Linked DNA regions of Yarrowia lipolytica. The protein of the gene in region 2 purifies or fractionates together with the protein of the main gene of each other region. This does not show direct contact. Links are inferred from orthologs where the notes say so. Each region holds a gene or a part of one and is shown on either strand. Other genes may lie near its edges.

Region 1 (4,221 bases), on a different chromosome or scaffold from region 2:
TGAAACAGAGGCCCACTTTCAGAACAAAGACTGAAACAGATTTGCCTCTTATGGAAAGACCCTTTATTATCGCTTGTCGAAATTAATATCTCTTTTTATTATCGCTAACGTTTGCTTCTTAATTCTAGAAGGTCTCCTGAGCGTTTGAGATTACTAATCAGATGTAGTTGGGCAGATATGGATGAGCTCATTACAGCTGACCACCGAGTAGAGTAATAGGAAGCTGGCCTACTCGCAATTGCACTCGTACTTGTGTGCAAGATCTAGGCCTCACCCCTTAGAATGTCGAGTAATATGTCAACTATTGAGAGTTAAATTTGGTAGATTTTGTTCCTGTGTTTGGCTTATCACGACAACAGGTTACCAGAGGCTGATTGAGCTGAGAAATGAACCAAGTATTCAGAAGGAGAACAAAATAACCGGTTCCCAATTTTTGGAGCAATTGGAGCCTTTCTGGGGACGATCTGATGTGGTATGTTGTAGGCTATAGATCAAGTGTTAGTTGGGAACTAGTTGGGGGTTAGTTTAGAACAGGCAAAACTAGCAGTTTCTCCAACTCTCCTTTTTTTCCTCACAAAGGTCGGGGGTTTTCTCCACATTATATCCAGCAGACAGACAAGGTGGATGGTATCGTTTTTACGGTGCGCCCACATCTTTCTGAAGAGCAGGTGATACGTTGTTCTCTTCGATTTTGCTGAGGAGTTCGGGCATGTATACATGGAAGAGAAGACTACATGTTCCTGAGATGTACAGAAGCTTCAAGACAAGTAATAATCGACCTATGAAAGACACAAGAATTGCTATCATTAACGATTGATCTCAATTGATCCAGAAGAGTTCTCAGGCCTTCACTTCTTTAGCTGTACGCGGAGCTATAGACAATCTACAGGAACTGTCATGACAAGTTACAATTGGAAAACAAGTAGATCCATCGGCTCAGAATCAAACAGAGATCCCAATTGCGGTTTCAAACCAGCTTTGATGATACACGTACAATCTTTGGAGATATCTACTCTTGAGTACATACAAGTAGCACCCTATCAGGTTATACAAACGTGGAAGTCAGAGACAAGTGTACCTACAACACAAGTCGATGATTTCTTGTCCAAAACAAAAACGGATGCCGCAGTGATATTCGCCCCAGCCCAGACATTCCGCTGATATCTTCCGATTTTGTTCACCCCCCAAAAAAATTCCACCCATTCTCAAGATTGACATTCATTTCATACCATCACCTACTTGTTTTCCGCTCGCTCCGCCTCCTCACGCTCCTTCTTACGTCGGTTTACGTCCCAGTTGTGCACACGGGCAATGTTCACCTCAACGGTGGTGATGTTTTCTCTCAGAAACAGCACATCTTCCTCGGCGGTGTCGTAGCCTCTCTTGGCACCCTCCAACCGCTCACTCAGCAGCTGCTTGGCCTCGGCAACATCGTACTCCAGCATCACGTTGGCGCCCAGCCACAGATAGACAGACTGAATGCCGCTCGCCTCGATCTTGGCTTCTGTGTACAGCGTGTCGTTGAGCTCGTAGTTGGTCACCACGTCTTCGCCGGCCGAACCCTTGAGCTGCAGAAACTCCACCATCTCCAGCGACTTTTGGATGTCCGGAATCTTCTCCTTGAGCCCGGCCTGCCGCTGTAAAGTCGTCATTTCCATATACTTGTACTTTTGCAGCATTTCCTGGAATTTGTCGAGCGATTCCTTGACGCCCGACTTGCTCACAAACTCGGCCACATTGTCGACGAAGGGGGCCCGGGGAATGCCGCGGGGGTTTGTGTCAGGTTCAGAGGACGCAGACATTGTGTGTGAGTGATTGTGTAACTGGAGTGATCTGTAGTGTGCGATCTGTGATGTGGTGATCTGCAGGCGGAAGTTTAGGGAGTTGGTGCAGTCAGTTTGAAGAGTAGTTCCACAAGTCACAATTTTGTATGAAAATGGGCTATGATTATTACACCATTGGAATAGCTGCAAATTTACTGATGGAAAGATACATGTTCCACAACATTTTTCTTGCGAAAACAACCATAGAGGACAACAAAGCACCGCCCTAACTCATGTACTAAGTGTGTATACCTTTACTTGAACTTAGTTAAGATACTTAGTTAGACGTTACGACGACATTACCCACATCCTCAAGCGTTCTATGGTGACTGGAAAATACCAAAAGATCAAAGAAAACCAGAAAAGAAAACTGTTTTTCATTGACCTGAAAAAAATCCAATCAAGTAATGTGAGAATTTCAATCTCTTCTGTTCTGCACCAGTACAATAAATCAAACCGTCAAAACCTGTCCAACTGAGAAGATAACTGAATCAGAAACAGTTAATTTACTCATATAATTGCAACCTATAAAAAAATCTGTGATTAATATCCATGCACTCCCCCAATATTGCGATATTTGGATCCGCTCGTTCCTCAGTGCAGACGCGCTGAGTGTTGAAAAGACACCAAAGAAGACACCAAAGAAGACACCAAAGAAGGACTTTGCCAGAAACCCGTTGAGATTGCTCAGTTAACAAATTGTTGGTGAGTTCATTTACTATCGGATCAACATTGGTTGTTTTTTTGATAAAGAACCACGAGGACTTCATGGAGTAAACATCATTTGCTGACTAAAGTATACATTCAAGTTAGATGGAGTCCTCCAGCAAAATAGATTGTAAGGAGACATTTGTTAGTTGCCACGTGACGGATGGAATGGTTATTATTCAAAATCTCTGATCGGGTGATTACCCGTGGTGATAGAAGTGGTGTGTGTAGTTGTCACTTCAAAGTGAAAACTCCAAGATAGAATCCGAAATTGGGCTCGGAAAGAGGAAGAGAAATCCCTGGATGAACTCAGCAGAGGGTTTTAACCGCAATTATCTTCTTTCACTTCTCTCCACCGTGTCTCTTCAGCCACTTGTAGACATGTCTCCATTCCAACTACACCTCAACCAATATCCTAACGATCTCAATCTTTTTGTTAATCAGAATCATTCCAGCCACCCCAACAAATTACTTGACCTGACAACCAAATCCGAAACGGAGAAAATAAATCCTCAAATCACAAAATCATATAACACAAAACCACCAAAAACCCCATTGCTTTTCCTAATCCGTCTTTTACCCCTTGCTACCTCTTCGAGATGACTTTGGAGCTTGCCCAATTTTTTTTTATGTTAGTCTAAACCCTAAAAATAAACACCTTGCCAAATTGGGATTTCCGAATAGCCGTCAGTTTAGCCAAAGTGAGTGCAGCAAATAGATGCACCACTTCGAATCGAACCGACGGTGATTAACAAACTCAAATAAGGTTTTGATTATTAATTTTGTCATTTTTTTTAGGGTAAAAAGGAACAATGACAGTAAACGATATTATGGCATATCGAGACCCAGAGTGATATAACCAATTTCTCTGCGATATTCCTAGACCCTCAAATAACCCACAACATCCCCTCTACGCCCATTCTCACATGACTTTCACAACATGTTGGAGGAGGGTCCCAATTTCGCCAATCTGGTTAAGGTTTGTCCCAATTTGTAATTCACGTGACGTGACTGCTCTTTCAAATTTTCAGTTGGGACTCCTCCCAAGTATCTTAATTTCTCTCTGCAGTCTCTTCATCTTCGACAAATCATTCACCATGGGAAAAGACTCTTTCACCAAGAAGCACCAGAAGCATTCTAACCGAACTGCTCCCAAGTCCGAGAACGTCTACCTGACCCTCCTGGTCAAGCTGTACCGATTCCTGGCCCGTGAGTGCGAGTGAGGACGTGTTATTAATGACATTGTCCAAGCACAGAAATGTGCGGAGCGTGAGCACTACGGAGAGGTTGAGAGTGGGTCTATGCATGTGCTGTGCGGTGGCATCTACCGTACTATTACAAGTATGGTACTTGTGTATGGCACAGTTGCGTTGCCCGAACTCCCTCGACATGCCACGTAGAGTGGTGCCAGAATCAAGACCCATCTTGTTTTGGGATTCTATTGATACGGCATCACAGTCGAATTTTGACATTCGGCCTTTTATTTCGTTTTCTTTTTACTAACTCAGGACGAACTGACTCCAAGTTCAACAAGCGGGTTCTCAAGGGTCTTTTCCTCTCCAAGGTCAACCGACCCCCCGTCTCCACTGGCAAGATTGTCGAGAACCTCAAGGTCAAGGGCAATGCTGACAAGATCGTTGTTGTTGTCGGCACCGTGACTGACGATCCCCGACTCGTCGAGTTCCCCAAG
Region 2 (4,092 bases):
CTACAATTATCATTAGTTTTCTTTATACCATAGGTCGTAGCTTTCGCTCCACCTGAACCATTCTAACACAGTATCGACCTGAGATATTGGATAGCTCACAAGTTTTTGAGCTCTGTTTCTAGAGACCTCAGTATATCTGAACCCCTTACAGATGTCTCCACATATTCGCCAGTATACATTTGCTTACAGAGATGTTAAAAATTCCTGACTTTCGATACTGAATTAGTAGCCATAATGTGTGATCTATTGGAACGATTAATATCATCGATACAGTACCAATGATATCAGCATTCTTTCAATGAACTTCTTATGCTTCTATCGTGATAATCCGGCGAGTAATAGTCCTATGGAATGTTTACCACACAGAGAGACACATGAGCTCCACTGAGTCAGGATAGTTGTAGGACTCATGGTATCATATTCTAAATAATGACAACTTTTTAAATATTCTATTGTTGAGTATATCTCTTGCTTCTCCGTTTGGTCAATTACTTTTCAGTACAATTGGATAGTCACAACTGGCACAACAACTTTCCATCGGTCCAAACAACATCCATAATACCAAACTACAAAATGATTTTATATCAATATACAAGATTTTGGTGCTAATAAATTCTTTTCTTTGAGCAAGGGTCAGTGCTGTTCAGGTTGCTGTGGCCAAATCAAGAAATTCACAGTTTCGAAAGTACACTCGGCACCATCGGTGTGAAAAACTTCTCAGCAGTATTATGGAGCATCTCATGATGATTTATTGGTCTCTGGTTATTGGTATAATTAATGTTTTGTATTTTTGTCAATTGATTCATTTCTTTATCATTAACTACGCGTATTTCACATTTAAATGAAATTTATTCAGTTTTTCCTCTCTCTTTCGTGGTGACTTTTTCGGCAGACTACAATGGAGTCATACTTGCTGAATATAATACCAGAAGATATGAGGAGCATATGGAGATGTTTATTACAAGTGTAGCTTTTTATTGATTATTGTCTTCAGCTTCTATCCAATTTATTGATGACTTTTCAACGGCATCTCATACCCTGAAAACCCCTGGATCTGTGGAGGCTTCAAAAGCGCAATAGGGGATCATAGCAGTAAGTGAGTACTGTCCAGAAGGAGTATAACATGTCCAAATATGTTTTTGGAACAAGTCTTGTTTTTGTAGGTAACTCATCAGTTTTTGTTTTTGTTTTTTTTGTGTTTTTTTGTGTTTTTTTGTGTTTTTTTGTGTTTTTTTCCAGTATTATCTCCATATATCGGATGTCGCATCACGTATGGACAAGACAGGTCGCAATAAAATCCAAATAGGACAAATTACTGTTCATTATAAGACGACTATCATTTATCGTGAGAGAATATTGTGTTCATCTGGAATTTATTCTGAACATGAAGCCGTTTTATGATGTAGTAGTTGTTGTTAATACAGTTGCTCAACACGCCCAGGTCGACTTTTCACGAACTCCATCTTTTTCTCCCTCCACATCCATATCAAAACTACCATACCGTTTGTCGACATCAACCAACCCTTACCATCAACAAATTCCATCGTCAAAACACTCAGGGTATCAGTAGTTGAGCAGACTAGGTCTGGCTCGAGTCGGAGCTTCGGAAAGAGATCCATTCTTGTGATTCTCCTAATACTGAGACAGTAACTTACTAGTTCAAGTACGTACTATACTTGTAGACTCTCGTACTCTCGTACTCTCGTACTCTCGTATCGTAAAGTCACAGACTGGTTGGTTGTATTTGCAAACGCTTCTTCACCTGCTGTGAATCTTGGAACATCTTTCTTGAGCTCAAGTGTTTCCAATACAGTCCAGTTCCACGGGAGTAAGACATGTGCAGTTCATTGCAACTCCTTTACTTTTGTAACACTGAATGGTTCATCAATTCTTTTCAGATACTCGTCGTAGTCCACCGAGATTTACTTTCTTCGAATTGAGTCTAAATACCCTATAAATTGGTACCAAAATGACCGCCTTGTACTGCTGCTTACGAATCTGCAGGCTTAATGCCCACACAACGTACTTTACACTGGTATCTGTCCAATTTTTTCACCACCGCCAAATAAGCTCGGCAACCTTTCTCCCAATTGCCATCGGTCTGCATACAGCCTGTCCAGATCACACTGATTGTTACACCCGACAGAAATGAGCGAAGTGAGTATGAGCGGATGGAGGGAGCGGGAAAAAAAAGGCGTGGGAATGTCACGTGCCATAGGTGAGAGCCGCTTTTGAGTCACGTGCCCTGGGGTGGGGAGGGGGGTGGATCATGTACTTGTTCGGGCCACCACTAACACCAGTTCCAACTCGTGTCGACCGAGCTATCTTCCAAGTCTGCCGAGCAGCAGTCCGTCAAGGCCCAGATCGAGTCTGCCAACCGACAATTGCGACTCATTGACCTTTCGCGCCAGCAGCTGGAGACTGAGAAGTCCGACGTGGTGTGGCAAGGCGTCGGCAAGATGTTTGTCAAGAAGGACAAGACCAGCTACCTGGAGGAGCTGACCAAGGACAAGAAGAAGGGCGAGGAGGCTCTCGACACTCTCAAAAAGAAGCTGACCTACGTGGATGTTTCTGTGGAGAACGCCCGAAAGCGTCTAGAGCAGCTACTCAAGGCTGCTGGTCAGGAACAATGAACGGAACAGACCTGAGCCAGGAAAGACTTTGAGGGTGAGGCGAAAGAGGTGGATGAGTCATCTGGTTGGTTTTCATTGGTTCTTGTACCAATCAATGGGATTCACTGTTAGTTGCCATGCTGGTACTGAATTACGTCTGATTTGTGGCCATGAATGATCCTACAACAGCCCGTACCACGGCTCGACCTTGAAGGCCATAATGAATCAGGTTGAATAGAAATGAATGATGATGTTATGATTGCAACAGGTTTGGGTGGAATCGTAGCGAGGGATGAGTCGCACCCTGGTTAGGGAGTAGTGTTCCAAGCCACGCGGCGGTTAGATTGTAACTAAATCGAGTACACCGTCTAGGTCTAACACTCCTTCACTCGCAATACATTAATCTATACACCCCTATTTCAATGAGAACAATCGTGGATTGCCCTCGTCGTGGCAATCAAAAGATCGATACGTAAGACCCATTCTTAGCAGATTGGGTGGTACCACGGGACTGGCCCTTTGTGTGACGGGTCACTAGTGGCTGCGTTCGCTTAAACGGCCGAGTAACCAGTTCGACTGCTGCCGGTAAAAGTACCCACCACCTTGGCAATCAGATCTCGGATCAGGTAGGGGACATCTCTTAGGGAATCGGCATGGGGAAGAAGGTCGACACCAGCGTTGCCGTATCGATCATAGTTGATCCAGGCGTTGCCAATGATGTATACCGCCACTCCCAGTACAATGATGATGAAGAGCCAGGTGAACCATCCCCACGATGGGTTTCCGTTGCTGGCGTCGTCCCCATCATTGGGGGTCTTTCCGGGCTCCTTGACGGGCTGCTTGGGCTTGGATCCGTCGTTGATGCAAGCTGCGGGAGTCTTCCAGTTGATTTCGTAGTAGTTGTTGAGACCCAATCCCACGTTCTCGAGCTTGGGGCCCTCCTCCTTATCCGAACAGATGTAGTTGACGTCGATATCCAGTTTCTCACTACCCCAGGGGTTTCCGTACGATGTAGAAAGGCCCTCTGTTCCCTCCGGGCCTGTTTTCAAAGGCTGGTACTGAGGAGCAGGACCGTTGCCGAACGGCATCACCTCAGACAGAACGAAATCCTTCTCCTTGGGCAGCAAGATGTAGCCCAACCCGCACACAATGGTGTTATCCGGACACTGCTCGTCCGCAGGTTTCTTCTTATCCTGTTTGAGAGACGCGCACGGATCGAGCACAAACTCCATCTTGCGCTTCGACGGAGGCGTCTCTATGGTGTATTCGACCGATTTGGGGCCGGAGATGGCGGACAGATCGTAGTTTTTGCTGTCGACAGTGAACTGACAGGAGGCTGCGGCCACAGCCACGGCCATGTATCCAATTATAGCGCTTTTCATGGTGGGGTGCAAAAGGTGAAGTTGGTTGTGGGATAAGATTATCAACGTGAGCACGAGGTTTATTTGGAGGGGTCGGCACGAGTCCGTCGAAAGTGACG
Region 3 (4,812 bases), on a different chromosome or scaffold from region 2:
TTTTGACTGGCCTCCTTCATATCAGAACCAACGGCGGCTTTTAAAAGGGGCTCCAATTCGGACCCGCGACAGGTTTGACTCTTTTTCAATGGACTTCCTTAACAGAAGTAACCCCCCTTCCCGAGTAGAACTTCTTCGGTGTTGATCTCTTGCCGCAGTCGGTATCGAACAGGCATAGTCAACTCCCTCGTTAACGCCAAAAATAGAAGTTGAGCTTCATAAAACTTCAAGAATACGTCAAACCATCCATCGGAGCTTTCATTGGACCCTCGAATGCGAAATTGAATCTTTCAACGTTTTCAAGTGTGCACTCGCCATAGAGCTTGCTGATTTTGTTTTCAAAAACTGCTCTGCAGTGCATGGCTTCTTGTTTCCAAAGCTGTATTCGGCGGGCATGATGATATGTGTCGGCCATGTCGGGCATGTCGTTCATGTCGGCCATGTCGTTGAGCTGTGTTTGCCATCACGCTACTGGAACGTTATAGCCATTTCTGAGCTCATACTTCCCCAGTGGTGATGAAATCTGATCAGCTGATGAATAAACAAAACTTGAGACGCTCGAAAGATCCTCGAGGCTCGCCGGGCTGCCTCGCACTCCCCATATCGTGCTGTACACTCACTTGGGCATTGTATTCAAAACACCTCGTTGTAAAGCAGGAAAAGAATATCCACCCTCGTAAACCAGGATGGGGTTTCTCTTTCTCGCCTGATCTCGCGCCTTGTTCAGCTCCTCCTTGCTCTTGAACAGCTCTCGATGACTGTCCCAGTCGATAAACTGGACCGTGGCCTTTGGGAGGTCGGAAACAACAAAGAACCGGTTATCCCAGAGACTCACACGACCGGGAGTTAGCTGGACCACGTGATCGGAAGGTCGTCGAGGCACCTCGCGCGACAGCTGCCATTTGTCGTTTCTGAGGGAGAAGTCGACTCCGGCAAGGTTGAACTTGTTGCCTGCTTCAAACCGTCCAGTCAAGCCTCGCAGTCTGTGCAGCCTTAGAGACAGATCTGGCAACGGAGATAGCGGAGAAAGAATGTTTCTCAATACTAGTTGAAGCGTATCATGTGGCAGTTTGGTCAGAACCCCTTTCACTTGTTCCTCAGAGAGAGTAATAGTTCCATCTGGCGATTGAGAAGCAGCTAGCAATCTGGAAGATACCTCGGAAGCCTCCGTTTCGCACTTTATCCGATACCCATTGAGCTTCTCCAGCAGTCTCAATACATTGGATGCCTGGAACTCCTCCGGAATCAGTTCCGGGTACTCGTAATACATCTTTCTCACCAGGTTTCGTTCTGCAATCTCCACGTTTTGGTTGGTAGGGTCTTCGAACCAGGGGATGTTGTTCTTAACAAGCACATTTCGTAAATGGGACTTTGTTAGACCCAGTAACGGTCTCATTAGCTTCCATCCAGACGCCAATTCCGTCCTTGAATGCTGTTTCAGCGCAATACCACCTCCTCCCCAGGTATAAGGATTAAACGAGACTCGTGGCTGGATTCCTGCAAGTCCAAATAATCCACTTCCTCTAAGCATACGTACCACGAATGTCTCTATACAATCGTCTTGGGTATGTGCCGTGACGACTGTAGAAACTCCGTCATCATTCATGGCCGCAATGAGTTTCGAATAACGCGCCTGTCGCATTGAAAGTTCTTTTGTGTCGTTCAAAGCGTCCAATTTGAGAATCCGATGGTTTATACCTAGTCTAGAGACGATTTCGTGAACGTTTTGGGCCTCCGAAGACGATTCACTCCGTACCCCGTGATCCACGGTGTATGCTGTGGTTTTCTCGCTCAAACCGGGTGTTTGTGATATCATGTAGGCCAGTGCCATTGAGTCGGACCCTCCGCTGACCGCCAGAGCGAGTCTGGGAAGTTTTGTGAGGGTGTTCAAAGGCATGACTGGGGATGTTGGGTATTGCGCAAAAGTGGGTATCTTAGGCCGGTCTTTCGACTTGGAACGATATTTTCGACTAATTTGGTCTGATTTTTTTGCAATTTCCAATCTTTAGAAGAAATATGTTGGAAATATGACGGAATATGACGGAAATATGATGTTGTTCTGATGTGTACGGTGAAACTTGAAATTATGGGGAACTCTAAAATAATGAAAAATCACGATTTTTTTTTTTTCAGTGGTGATTTAAAGTTGAGATGAAAATAACGACCAAAACAGAGAACATTCTGGAAGACTTGAAATGGCGCTGAAGAGCTGGAAACAGAGAAGTCAGCTCAAATCTGCCTGCAAATTTTCATGATTGGTTTTTCTGGACAAAATCGACTGTTTTTAAGCCAAATAACACTACAAGTACGTACTGGAGAAATCCAATCTGGACTTGATACATAAACATCATTTAGGAAGTCTAAGAAGGGGGGATATAACGTCACGTGATCAAATCATGCGATCCACCAGATCCGATTGACGAGGTCGAGGAAGATGGTATAACTCGTCCGATTCGCGATTTGCGGTTATTTCCTTGAAATACCACCTGACCGGGTTCGAACTGGCGACCCATCCTCCTCGTAGAGTTCACTTACATAAGCAAGATGATGCACGCCTGAACACACAATCCAGGAGTGCACTGACCAACACACAACTACACACAATGCGAATGGTGAGTAATGGGCTGGACAGGAGGTTTTAGAGACGCATTTGCGGACAGAATTTGTTGTTACAATGCAGATGCGGTTCAGAATGGACCATCGCCAGTTGCTGGGGCGGTGTGGCAATCAGTGACACATCCGTGATTGGTCTTTGATCTGATCTTGAGAGGAGGGCAATTATGAGTGAAGGTCTGGTTGGTTGTTTAAAATTGAATCTCCGTGGTATGAGACTAGGTGGTATACAAATTCAAGCATACCAACAGCCAACCAGGGATACGACCTCACCGAGTACCGTAGAGCTGAGAGATGTGGTTGAGATCGATTGATCATCCTGTAATGAAGTCAGATGTGCCCATAATTGCAACTGGGACCGCAGAAAGGAACAGATCGAGATGGAGGCCACAAATTGATGTATTAGCCGGGGTACATCTGCTTGCCGTGTCCATGTTGATCGCTGACTTACCAGAAACCAGAAATCCATCTGCGTTCGACCCGTTTGGCTGTATGCCTGAACCACTGGTAATCGTGCGCAGTTAAGGGCTCGTTTACACTTATCTGAGTCTGCTGGCGAATCCATCCAGTACTAACCCAGCTCGACGAAGGAACCGAGGTCAAGGACGTGGAAGTTCTGAGGGAGGACCAGGACCGAATTAACCGCTTCTCTTCTCTCAACACCCAGATGGACCATCTTGAGGACGATGAGAAGGAGTCGTCGACCAGCAAAGAGTACCTGGACGATCTGATCATGGAGATGGAGCTGATGGACGAGGACGAGACCGTCAAGTTCAAGATTGGCGACGCCTTTGTGGACATTCCCCAGAGTGAAGCCATGGTGCGACTAGAGAAGCAGCAGGAGGAAGTGGACGCCAAGCTCGACAAGACCCAGAGCAGGATGGCCGAGATTCGAGACGAGATGGAGGAGCTCAAGAAGCATTTGTATGCCAAGTTTGGCAACTCCATTTCTCTTGAGAGATAGGCTCCAGGGGATAGTTGGATGATGTATTTGATAGATGGTTGATTGTGGGTTGTGTAGATTGTGGAATTACATGAGGCTGAAAAGGCTGGATACGGCTGGATTCGGCTGGATGTGGCTGTCATCGACGTGGTGGAGGAGGATTGAAATAATCATGTTATTAATAGGATAAGTAGATTAATGTAGTCATTTTTTTCTTCTTTTTTTTCTTCTAATTTTTCTAATTTTTTTAATTTTTAATTTTCTAGTTTTTCTATTTTTTAATTTTCTATTTTTTCTATTTTTTTTTTTTCAATTTTACCCCACATGAGCCTCAGTCAAATCATGCACATGCCGCATCGGAAATGCAGAATACAGCCGAACTGAACCTCATGTTGGGCCCCACGAGCTTTTGACACCGATTATCAACTTCCGAAACATGCTGAAATGGCACAAATACGGCTGAAATCGACTCCAATGTCTCCAAAATCCCGACACGCGCCAAAACTCACGACCCAAGAGCTTTTTATGGCAGCGGAAAGAAGACGAGTTTTGTGGATCAAGTCTGATGACCAAGGAGCAGGAGCAGGAAAAGTGGTGAAGAGGAGCAGCAGGAGGGAAAAACGGTTGGACTTGGAGAAACTGTCAAAGACCGGGCTCATTGAGACTCACGTGGAAGAATTGGGTGCATTTGATCGAGGGTCCGAGAATGTGACTGGAGAACCACCGCTAGGCACCATGAGGACCAAGCAGCAGGAGAAAGATACATCTATCATTGCCGAGCACAAAGTGTCCAAATTCGCCTTAGGCCACACAACTGATACCTCTGTCGGGGAAGGTGCTGATCCAAGTACTGATACTATTGGTGGTACGGCCAAGGTCAAAATAGAGGAGGATACCAATCTCGATACAATAACCACAGCTGAGATCAACAGAGAGTCCGCATTATTGACTTCAAAGGTCGCTGCTAAGAGATTGGTAGCCGTGGATTACAACCACGTTCCCTTTTTTCCAGAGGAAGGAGCTCTCGCCAAGACGTTTCTAAAGGAAGATGGTCACAGCAGGCAGTTCTTCATTGTGACTCCTTGGTCAGAAGCCTCCGTCAGAATCCACACCAATCTCAGATCCCTTATTGCTTCAGCTGGAGGAGTAGTTGTCGATGAGCCCAATAAAGACACATTCAACATCACCTATGACCAAAATACTGTGATTCCCGAGTCCTACAGCTGCTTCAACAATTGGTACACTCCGGATCTCGT

What was found. The genes of interacting proteins can lie anywhere in the genome.
Region 1: the proteins of YALI1_C22816g (region 2) and YALI1_B11916g purify together in Saccharomyces cerevisiae (affinity purification with mass spectrometry; 3 studies listed by BioGRID). This does not show direct contact. The link is inferred for Yarrowia lipolytica from reciprocal best matches to the Saccharomyces cerevisiae genes PFD1 and PAC10.
Region 3: the proteins of YALI1_C22816g (region 2) and YALI1_A02083g purify together in Saccharomyces cerevisiae (affinity purification with mass spectrometry; 3 studies listed by BioGRID). This does not show direct contact. The link is inferred for Yarrowia lipolytica from reciprocal best matches to the Saccharomyces cerevisiae genes PFD1 and GIM3.

What each region holds. Positions count from the first base shown.
Region 1 is NC_090771.1:1,189,813-1,194,033, forward strand, and holds YALI1_B11916g (uncharacterized protein), read right to left. Parts: upstream 1,803-4,221; coding exon 1,236-1,802; downstream 1-1,235. Other genes in the region: YALI1_B11934g (60S ribosomal protein eL18), read left to right, coding at 3,629-3,740, 4,040-4,221. UniProt on the Saccharomyces cerevisiae protein: Binds specifically to cytosolic chaperonin (c-CPN) and transfers target proteins to it. Binds to nascent polypeptide chain and promotes folding in an environment in which there are many competing pathways for nonnative proteins.
Region 2 is NC_090772.1:2,279,545-2,283,636, forward strand, and holds YALI1_C22816g (uncharacterized protein), read left to right. Parts: upstream 1-2,148; coding exon 2,149-2,157; intron 2,158-2,300; coding exon 2,301-2,633; downstream 2,634-4,092. Other genes in the region: YALI1_C22835g (uncharacterized protein), read right to left, coding at 3,164-3,994. UniProt on the Saccharomyces cerevisiae protein: Binds specifically to cytosolic chaperonin (c-CPN) and transfers target proteins to it. Binds to nascent polypeptide chain and promotes folding in an environment in which there are many competing pathways for nonnative proteins.
Region 3 is NC_090770.1:206,714-211,525, reverse strand, and holds YALI1_A02083g (uncharacterized protein), read left to right. Parts: upstream 1-2,603; coding exon 2,604-2,612; intron 2,613-3,193; coding exon 3,194-3,577; downstream 3,578-4,812. Other genes in the region: YALI1_A02113g (uncharacterized protein), read left to right, coding at 89-124, 179-517; YALI1_A02096g (uncharacterized protein), read right to left, coding at 617-1,897; YALI1_A02075g (uncharacterized protein), read left to right, coding at 4,001-4,812. UniProt on the Saccharomyces cerevisiae protein: Binds specifically to cytosolic chaperonin (c-CPN) and transfers target proteins to it. Binds to nascent polypeptide chain and promotes folding in an environment in which there are many competing pathways for nonnative proteins.